2 linked regions of the Neurospora crassa OR74A genome follow. The protein of the gene in region 1 interacts with the protein of each later gene in a pairwise test. Links are inferred from orthologs where the notes say so. Each region holds a gene or a part of one and is shown on either strand. Other genes may lie near its edges.

Evidence for each region.
Region 2: the proteins of NCU03085 (region 1) and NCU03748 interact in a two-hybrid assay, tested with the Saccharomyces cerevisiae proteins (2 studies listed by BioGRID). The link is inferred for Neurospora crassa OR74A from reciprocal best matches to the Saccharomyces cerevisiae genes LSM8 and LYS9.

What each region holds. Positions count from the first base shown.
Region 1 is NC_026501.1:4,492,358-4,497,099, forward strand, and holds NCU03085 (small nuclear ribonucleoprotein Lsm8), read right to left. Parts: upstream 2,846-4,742; 5' UTR 2,366-2,845; coding exon 2,332-2,365; intron 2,175-2,331; coding exon 2,098-2,174; intron 1,992-2,097; coding exon 1,800-1,991; 3' UTR 1,318-1,799; downstream 1-1,317. Other genes in the region: NCU03084 (inosine-uridine preferring nucleoside hydrolase, variant), read left to right, coding at 15-187, 250-284, 352-1,317; NCU03086 (HpcH/HpaI aldolase/citrate lyase family protein), read left to right, coding at 3,768-3,951, 4,014-4,106, 4,164-4,189, 4,242-4,742. UniProt on the Saccharomyces cerevisiae protein: Component of the nuclear LSM2-LSM8 complex, which is involved in spliceosome assembly. The LSM2-LSM8 complex plays a role in the biogenesis of the spliceosomal U4/U6-U5 tri-snRNP complex by accelerating PRP24-mediated annealing of U4/U6 di-snRNA.
Region 2 is NC_026505.1:2,286,667-2,291,946, forward strand, and holds NCU03748 (saccharopine dehydrogenase), read left to right. Parts: upstream 1-1,738; 5' UTR 1,739-2,022; coding exon 2,023-2,036; intron 2,037-2,145; coding exon 2,146-2,228; intron 2,229-2,325; coding exon 2,326-2,603; intron 2,604-2,662; coding exon 2,663-3,634; 3' UTR 3,635-4,018; downstream 4,019-5,280. Other genes in the region: NCU03747 (hypothetical protein), read left to right, coding at 1-454; NCU11261 (hypothetical protein), read left to right, coding at 4,552-5,123, 5,195-5,280.

The DNA.
Region 1 (4,742 bases):
TTCCCGTCCCGCAGCTGTCTCCGCAACGTCGTGGCAACGTTCCACGTGCTGGAAAAAGAGATGAAGTGGCGCGAGGAGACAGGCAAGAGCACTCGCGGCTTCGGTGCCCTCAACACCCATAAACCCATTGTCGCCGTTGGTCCGGAGCACGCGCTGGAGGATGAGATCCTCGCGGCCGACCACTTCCGTAAGACAGACTGAGACCCCCACCGCTTTTCCCTCAGAAACAAAGCAGTTAACAAATTGCAGATGGTGCCGACGGTTTACATGGTGTCCACGAGAAGGTAAGTGAACTCCGAGGACTGCGTTGCGTTTCTTGTCATGGTACGTTTGACCTGACCACCGCCCCAGCAACCTCATCTTTCCCCCGCCGACACCTGGCGCTCTCTATTCAGCGACGAAGAGCCCCAGGGTGAAAAAGTCGAGCCTCCTTCGTACTCCAAGTACTTCACCCCAAGCAAGGCTCCAGCGCACAAGGAGATTCTCCGTGTCCTGAAGGAATCGCCCGAGAACACCGTCACCGTCGTTGCCGTTGGTCCCCTGACAAACGTGGCGCTGGCCGCTGCTGAGGACCCCGAAACCTTCCTGCGCGCCAAGGAGCTGGTTGTCATGGGTGGTGCCGTAAACGTCGAGGGCAACGTGACCCCCGTCGCCGAGTTCAACTGCTTCGCCGATACCGTTGCCGCCGCCCGCGTCTACGCCCTGACCTCGCCCAACCCGAGCTCGACCATGCCCCCTGTCATCCACGGCAAATCTTTTTTGCCCCCTTACCCCGCCAAGCTTTCCAAGCAGCTTAAGCTGACCCTTTTCCCTCTTGATATCACCACCCCGCTCGAGCTGAGGAAAAAGTACTTCTACGAGACCATCCAGCCGATCACCAAGTCCGGCAGCCCGCTTGCGCTGTGGATCGAGACCTTCATGACAGGCATCTTCAACAAAGTCGAAGCCATGCTTGGCGACGGCAGTGAGCCCGGTCTGTCCCTCCATGACCCGGCATGCATTTGGTACATGTTGACCCAGGATGACCCCGCATGGGAACCCGTGGCGAAGCCGGAAGATATTAGAATTGAGACCTCCGGCCAATGGACCAGGGGCATGCATGTCATCGACAGACGACAGAGGGCGAAGCCGGGTGAGCAGTCAAGCAAGGTGGAGACGCATCCGTCGGATCCTCTGGATGCGACCACCTTTGACGATGTCCCCGGAGACGACATGGGCTGGCTAAGCGTGAACAAGGGAAACAGAATTAACAGGATGGTCAAGACCCCCGGCGACGAGAAGTTTGCCGCCATCTTGATGGATAGACTCTTTGGTTGAACCTGCCGGCAGCACTTGTTGATTTTCTTCTTCTTTTGTATATAGAAAGCGAATCTATTCCACGCGGAGTTTTTGAGATCTGGGGTATCTGAAATCAATATTCGCTGGGTTCCTTAAACCGAGAGCTGGACCTGCCCGTGACACCTTGTTTTATTTTTTCTTCGTCGGTCAGCATAAGTCTTAACGGGGAAGTAAGAGGGGAAGAAAGATCGTCGATTGGGCATACCAATGTAGTAAAAGAAAACCTGTAGCTCCGCGTGTCAAATGCTAATGATGCAACCAAATCTTGTGTGCCACGCACATTATCCACCGGTGTTGTCCTTTATGTCAACTGCCCGCGACCGCCACACCGTTCGACTTTTGTCTTTTTTCCCCTTGGTTTCCTTCTCCTGCCTCCTCTTCTTGGTTTTGAGGGAGCGTGACACCATGCTTCACGCGCTCAGGTATAGCGCAGAAACGGTTCAATGGTTCGGTGGTATATTCTAGTGCTTTGTCGTCCCAATCGTAGCCCCCTTGACTTTGGTCCAGTCTATGCTCTCGTCCAGCGGCTCATCAACCAACCCAACCAGGCAGACCGTGTCCCCGCGAATCATGTGCGTTCCCAGCTCGATCTCGGCCGAGGGCTCGTCATCATCGGGGGAGCGAATGACTCGTTCAACTGCTCTTTGTAGGAACTAGTTTGTTGGAGGGTTAGTTGTCGTTCGCGATATGCTTTGTTTTGTTTATCAGGTGGCAGAGGAACTGTATCGAAGTATGGATTGGGAGGGAGCATATACTGACCACATTCGTGCTCATGTCTACCGAGATCAGTGTGCCTACTAAGGTGCGGCCATCGACTGTAATTATGCAAACCTTTTCTAAAGTAACGAAAGATGGATCTGTTAGCTTTCTGGTCTTGCGAATATCCTTTAACTTTGGGATGCCGTGACCAATTGATCTTGTGACCGAAGCAATGGAGGAAAGAGGAAGAGGGGTCGAAAAAGCCGAAGGGCTCAGGTAGAAGGGTAGACCAACTGTTGAGGTACGAATTTACCAAGCCCGCCGACATGGTGACGGATGAGTAGATGCTATTACTGTAGTCTTTGTGTGTTTTCTCGTACCGGCAATGCGCGGGCCCAAGACCGCGGTGATAAGCAAAGTATCACGTAAAGCCCACGGTCTAACTTGAAGAGTATTGATTCAAGCGAAACACGTGGTTGCAGACAGAAAGTCGTCGGTTCAACTCGAGGGCAATTTGTTCGCTTCGTGTGATCTTGGTAAGCCCGGCCGGATGGGGTCGTTTGGTCGTTCGTCGCTTCGAATGGGGCAATTGGTTCGTGGTTATTGATGTTTTCGTTTCTCGTTGACCGATCGCGAAAGAGGAATACAACCTGGTCGGCGCGCCGCGTCAAAGAAGAATAGTGGGTACGTAATGCTGGCGGGGAGGGATGTGGTTAAATCGTGGGGATGGGACAAGAACGTCGCCGTTGAAGCTGGAGCTTCTCTTGTTCTTCCGTAGAATCGCCAAGCCCAGATCACTGACGACGGCTCACGGCAGACAACGTACCAGCACTGTGGTGAAGGCTGGAGCTTCTGAAGCGGATCCATTCTCCACTCAATTGCCTGCCGCAAAAGCGACGCTCACCCATCAGCTTGCCCCTTTTCATTCGGGAGGGTTGCTTTGTTTACTTTTATCCGCTTTGGGGTGTCAATGCAGCCCTCAACTGTTTTCGGTTGCTGCTTGAATAATTGCCTTCATCATCGTATGGTCTACCATCAGAAATGCAGAGCTTTCTCCTCCTGGAGCTTCTCGTCGCTGACTTGCGGCAGTCTCAAAGAGCCCTATGAAATTCTGTGGAAGCTTATACGTATAGCAGGGCCAAGATGCGGATGTCAACGTCCACCATGGCTTGAAGGACTTCCATGAGACCATTCAAGCCCATTGAACCTGCCGTTCCCGTGACTCGGAAAGTTTGAACATGTCAATAATCCGAATACCGGCAGAGGTTGTGGTGTCTCCAGTCAGAACAGCCTAGGTAGAACCGAATGCGGAGGGAGATACAGACGCGAACCCCGCAGTAGGAGCCCCGCCCTACTGTGTATCTCTTGGACGAAGGCAGGGGACGAACATCTCCCGAAGGTGTACCAAATTGGCCAGCAATTGAACTTGTTCACCCAACGCAGCCAGTACATTTCCTCGCCATCTGCCGTCAGGTTATTACAGTTGACCTCGAGTATGTGGCGGCGGGACCTTGGTTCGGAGCTGCACATCAACTTTGAAATCATAGTGTGTACTGTGTGTTATCGGATTTGCTTTAAAAGAGTTCGGGTTGACTTAGTCCGAGCTTCCACCTGCATCCCCACTGACTTGGCATGCCTTTCCTCCCCTTCGTACGTTAAAACTCCTGAAGCATCATATCTCTTCACTGAACAAAGTCGTTCACGTCACTCCGCTTCACCAACTCCGTACAATGTCTTCCGGTAACCCAACTTCCAAGATGCTGGCGGCCAATTCGTTGAAGCAAATCTTCACCCAGGAAAGCCGCCCTGCTATGGGTGTCTGGCAGATGCTACCCGGGGCCAATATCTCGAGGATTCTCGCTCGATCGGGGGCTGACTGGGTAATGGTTGACTGCGAGCATGGAAACATCGACGGTAGGTAACCCGTAATACGGTGGTGAATGATGGGGCTTGTTGAGCTGAATGATATTGGTCAGATGCTGCGATGCACGAAGCAGTTCCGGCCATTGCTGCCCTGGGCGTTTCTCCTATTGTCCGGATCCCAGACCTTCAGCCATCGATGGTCAAGCGTGAGTGCCATTCGTATTGCCTTATCACTCAGACGGTTACTGATGTACCCTTTACAGGAGCGTTGGATAGTGGTGCGCATGGAGTGAGTGTATAAGAGTATCCTGTGTTGGAGACATTTTTCTGACGTGCTCCAGATCCTTGCGCCGCTCATCAGGACTGTTGAGGATGTCAAAAACTTGGTTACCGCGGCAAAGTTCCCACCCGAAGGCAAGAGAGGGTTTGGATCACCCATCGCTATGCAAAACTTCAACCCCATGCCAACCTTCACCGAATACCTCCAGCAAGCGAACGAGAGTCTCTTGACCATGGTGCAGATCGAGACACAGGAAGCCTTGGACTGTGTTGAAGAGATAGCTCCGCTTGTGGATGTCATCTTTATTGGTCCTTTTGACTTGGGTAACAATATCGGCCACCCGATTATCGAGGGAAAGATGGATCCGGAGCTAGATGAGGCTATTGACAGGATCCTGAAGGCTGCCGTAACGGCAGGCAAAAAGTGCGGCATCTTCTGCACAGGCGGAGAGCAGGCCAAGCAGTATGCCGACAAGGGATTCCATATGATCAGTGTCGCAACGGATTACACTTTGTTGGGAGCTGCCATGGCGGACAGCCTAAGCATTGCACGGGGCCAAGGG
Region 2 (5,280 bases), on another chromosome or scaffold:
AAGTATGGCTGGCATGGTCGGCGATATTTCTTACGCCGATTTCTCCAAGGCGGAAGGCAATGTCATGGGATGGACTTCCTATGCGCCGTCATCGAGCGGCTTGGACACATACACAGCGCCGCCTACACCGAATAATTTCGAGCTGCCAGAGCAGTTCACCAACACCAAGGTGGCCTCTGAAGAGCCTGTTTCCTATGAGGCACCGGAAGACGACGAATCTGATGGCGAGATTCTGTACGGCATGGGACTGTACGACCCCCCCGAGACCCACGAGCCCGCCGACATGGACTTTCACCAGTCTACCGTCTCTTCACTTCTTGGAAACGCCGCAGCCTACGAGAAGCCCTCCGGCAAGGGTCTGAAGCTCGAGGACGCATGGGAGCCTCCTGCCAGCGACGATGAAGAGGACAATGAAGAGCAGGAAGATGACGAGGAGGAGGAAGAGGAAGACTAAGACTCACGAGATTATGACACTTGCATGATGAAATATTGAGAAGAAGCATTACACCGGCGACGGTTTGGGACACGCATAGCATTTACGGGACGGATTCCTAGAAAGGCATATGGGCTGGAAGCCCTATCGAAGATGCATCGACACATCAGGAATGTGTGGCTAGGCGTTTTGGTTTGCGTTTTTTTTTTTTCCCTGTTTTGTTTAGGAGACAAAGATACCCACCTCTGCAAATAAATACATGTACATATCTGAACAACATGCGATCTCACTGTCCTTGATTCACACCACCATCTCTTATTCCTTGGCCGCCGTGCATGCCTGCAAATGTGATGTCTTGCTGAGTGTTCATAGTGACTCTCATCGTGAGCTTGTTGGGACGTCCCTGAATCAAGCCAAGAGTGATGAATAAGCGGCCAGCCGTCAGGGGAAGTGAATCCGTCAAATACTTGGGGGGTTCTGGGCGCCAAGGCTTTCTTTCCCCCCTACATTCCATGTAGGGGGAGCCGAAAAGTTGGGACGGTATTTTAAAATGGGACATCTGGAATCTTAGCGTTTCCTATACAAAAGTGTTAACGGAGGGACATCGATCATCATTGTACCACGGAACCTTTTTCTAAAATTCCAAGAAAATTTGAGAAGTAAAAGGACACGTCTAGAAAAGCGTACCCAAAATTGCATCAATTTTGGCACAAACATTAGGGAGATAGAAGCGATAGAAGTATCTTTCACTATAGAATCATCACCTTCGTTCGGCGTAGTGCAGCACACTGAAAGCGACAATATATAGTGTATAAAATACATTTGGACCTTACCATCTACTCATCTTTAAGGATGATTTTTTCAAAGCTTCTAAAATGGTTCCTATAAGTAAGAATTCTATACCTGAATTTTTCTAGAATTTTAGAAAAAAGTTTCGTAGTAGAATTGCTGACTGAAGTCGCTTCGCTAACACTTTTGTATAGGAAACGCTAAGATTCCAGATGTCCCATTTTAAAATACCGTCCCAACTTTTCGGCTCCCCCTACATGGAATGTAGGGGGGAAAGAAAGCCTTGGCGCCCAGAACCCCCCAAGTATGTTCCAGTCCCTGTTTGTGGTTCGCCAGAAACATGCACTACCCATCGGTTGACAGCTGCCAAGAGTGACTGGCGACCAGCTAGACTGTACCTCTACTGTAAAGTCCGGCAGGCAAGCTGGTGTTGCTACCCCGCCAGTGAGTGCTTGGCGCCAATTGGAACGACACCAGTGCGCCTTGGGTGCCCCTCGTTTGAGGTCAGGAAAAAAAAAAAAAAAAAAATGGAAGAAAGCGACTGACCAGAAGCCGTTATCGGCCGGAGCTCCACCAATTGCATCTCCAACCGCGAGCGATGAAGTGCGAGTCAAGTCTGGATATCGGTTGTTAGCGGACAAGGACGGCAATAACACCATCGAAGTCACCTATTGCCGGCTTGAGAGCATGCAGTGTGGGGGATCTAATTCTGATTCTTTCTCTCCTCCGGATTTAACCTGACAAACACCAAAACACTGCGTCTGAATCACATCAGCTTGCAGATATCACAAGTCGCAAAGATGGCTTCCCAACAGTAATGCCATCCCCCTTACCCCCCCTACATACATCTCCCCCGCCATCCTGCCCTCACCTCGGGCAACCGCAAGAGCTGGGGATGCTGACCTCAAGTTTCATGTCTTCAGCAAGGTTCTCATGCTTGGCGCTGGCTTCGTCACCCGCCCTACTCTCGATGTCCTCAGCGAAGCTGGCATTCCCGTCACCGTCGGTACGTCAACAGTCAATTATAACAATGCACCTCTTGTTCGACAGTCCGGAACGAAAATACGGGCATTTAGGCTGACATTTGCGCTTGTGCGCGACAGCCTGCCGTACTCTTGCCTCTGCTCAGAAGCTCTCTGAGGGTGTTAAGAACGCCACCCCCATCTCCCTCGATGTCACCAACGATGAGGCTCTCGACGCTGAGGTCGCCAAGCATGACCTTGTCATCAGCTTGATCCCTTATACCTTCCATGCCACCGTCATCAAGTCGGCTATTCGCCAGAAGAAGCACGTCGTTACCACTAGCTACGTCTCTCCCGCTATGATGGAGCTCGATGCCGAGGCCAAGGCCGCCGGCATTACCGTCATGAACGAGATTGGTGTAAGTCCATGACATATTAAATGTTTCGAAGCTTTCAATCATACTAAGTCGCTCGGCAGCTCGATCCCGGTATCGACCACTTGTACGCCATCAAGACCATCGATGAGGTCCACCAGGCCGGCGGCAAGATTCTCTCCTTCCTGTCCTACTGCGGTGGTCTCCCCGCCCCCGAGGACTCCGACAACCCGCTCGGTTACAAGTTCTCCTGGTCCTCTCGCGGTGTCTTGCTCGCTCTCCGCAACGCCGGCAAGTGGTGGCAGGATGGCAAGATCGTCGAGGTTGAGGGCAAGGACCTCATGAAGATGGCCAAGCCCTACTTCATCTACCCCGGCTACGCTTTCGTCGCCTACCCTAACCGCGACTCTACCATTTACAAGGAGCGCTACAACATTCCCGAGGCTCAGACCGTCATCCGTGGCACTCTCCGTTACCAGGGCTTCCCTCAGTTCATCAAGACTCTTGTCGACATCGGTTTCCTTGACGACACTGCGCGCGAGAGCCTGAGCAAGCAGACTCCCTGGAAGGAGGCCACCAAGGAGATCGTCGGTGCTGCTTCTTCCAGCCAGGCCGACCTCGAGGCCGCCATCCTCTCCAAGGCCACCTTCGAGTCCGCCGAGGACCAGAAGCGTATCCTCAGCGGGCTCCGCTGGATCGGTCTCTTCTCTGATGAGACCATCACCCCCCGCGGCAACCCTCTCGACACCCTCTGCGCCACTCTTGAGCAGAAGATGCAGTTCGAGGAGGGCGAGCGCGACTTGGTCATGCTCCAGCACAAGTTCGAGATTGAGCACGCCGATGGCTCCCGCGAGACCCGCACCTCGACCCTCGTCGAGTACGGTGACCCCAAGGGCTACTCTGCCATGGCTAAGACCGTCGGTGTTCCTTGCGCCGTCGCTGTTAAGCAGGTCCTGAGCGGCCAGATCTCTGGCAAGGGCGTTCTGGCTCCTATGAGCACCGACATCACCGAGCCCTTGATGAAGGAGCTCCACGAGAAGTACGGTATTACCATGATCGAGAAGACCATCTCCTAAGCTCAATGCGAAATTCTTGATGGACTGGAAGATGATGAAGAGAAGAAGAGTACTCTTTGACTAGGACGCCGAGTTTTAAATACCATGAGCGAAGCGACTGGACGCAAAGGAGGTGTTTATCCCCGATCGGACATGGAGTAGATCGAAGGCTGTGCAATGGCGGTGCTTCAGCGAAATACGAAGATACCAAATAGATCCAGGGTTGAAAAAAAGGAGAAAAGGGGAGGGAACTCGCCCGGAAAGGTACAGATGACTCATGAAGGTGGCATGTCCAACCCCCCCGGTTCATGGAGAGGCATGCCATGATACCGTAGTGGGCTATGAGGGCATGTAGGCATGGAAATAGGTAGTTGTACGAATTGACACCGCATGTTGAAGCCCTTATGAATTTCCGTCTCGCAACGCGAATTATTTGTTCGAATGACGCTGGAACCGTTCAAATAAGCCTGATCAGGTTGTGATACCCATCATGGTTGTCTCTTGAAGTGATTTGAGAAATATAGCGGTCGTGAGGCCTCGGGCACGCAGAGCTGTAGAGCTCAAAACGTGATCCAAGAAAACGGTGCAATTGAAAAATTGTTTGAGAGGTCCGTGTCCGACACAAAACAAGCATTTTTCCACTACCACCGCGGAAACCAAAACAACCGATCAAGAGATGACAAGGAGACAGAAATGTTCATACAACTGATTCGCACCGGCTTCCTATTTCATTGTGGTGTTTATGGATGAGCTTCATATTTCATGTCATATGAGAAAATTCTACTGCCACGCGATTCCGCCAACTCAAATTTCATCCTGACCGCAAAGCTCAAGACTCAGCGAACCAAACCAAAAACCGGACAGGATCCTGTGATCGAGACAACGCCAAACTGCCATCACAACAACCACTACCGAATTTCAAGGGCGCAAAAGAGGAAATGGTTCAGTATATCTTCACACCCTGGCGCGACCGTCGCGAACTCCTCGCTGTTCGCCGGCAATTTTACCCGCACCAGTACGGAAGCCAGGCAGCATCACAACCCCAACAACTGTCGCAAAGAGGAGGAGGAGGAGGAGCAGGAGCAGGAGCAGGAGCAGGAGCCAAACGAGGACGTGCAGCACAAAATACCCAGCGCACCACTCGAAAACGGGCAAGAACCGATGGCGCTGCCATTTCCTCCGAAACAGAGAAGGAGGATAACAATGACCGACAAGACCGACATGGAGGAGACGAACGCCGCCTAGCCGTCGCCCGCGTCTCCATGTGGATGCAGCGCGGCAACTGTCCACACATGGTGGAATCGACTGCCCTGCTCATGGCCGCGATTCTTAGTGACGAAGAGCAAACCGGCATCGCTGGCAGCTCGGGCACTGCTAGTTCTTACGGTACTTTAGGCACGGGCATGGTGAAAAGGGAATTGGATGTGGTGGATGGGTTCAGTGGCAGCGGGATTGGGGTTATGAGTTCGAGCTATGCGGTTAGGGCGGCTTATTCTGCTGCTTTTAGTCGGTAAGGGTTCTCCTCGCTACATATTCCCTCACCTACCAATGATTATACTAATGAAGAGCAACATTGAAAAGCTTCGTGACAGGCCTCCTGGACTCCCACCAAGATAAACAGCGCAAGATGTCCATGTACGGCGTCGCCAAGAGCGTTGGACTACCGG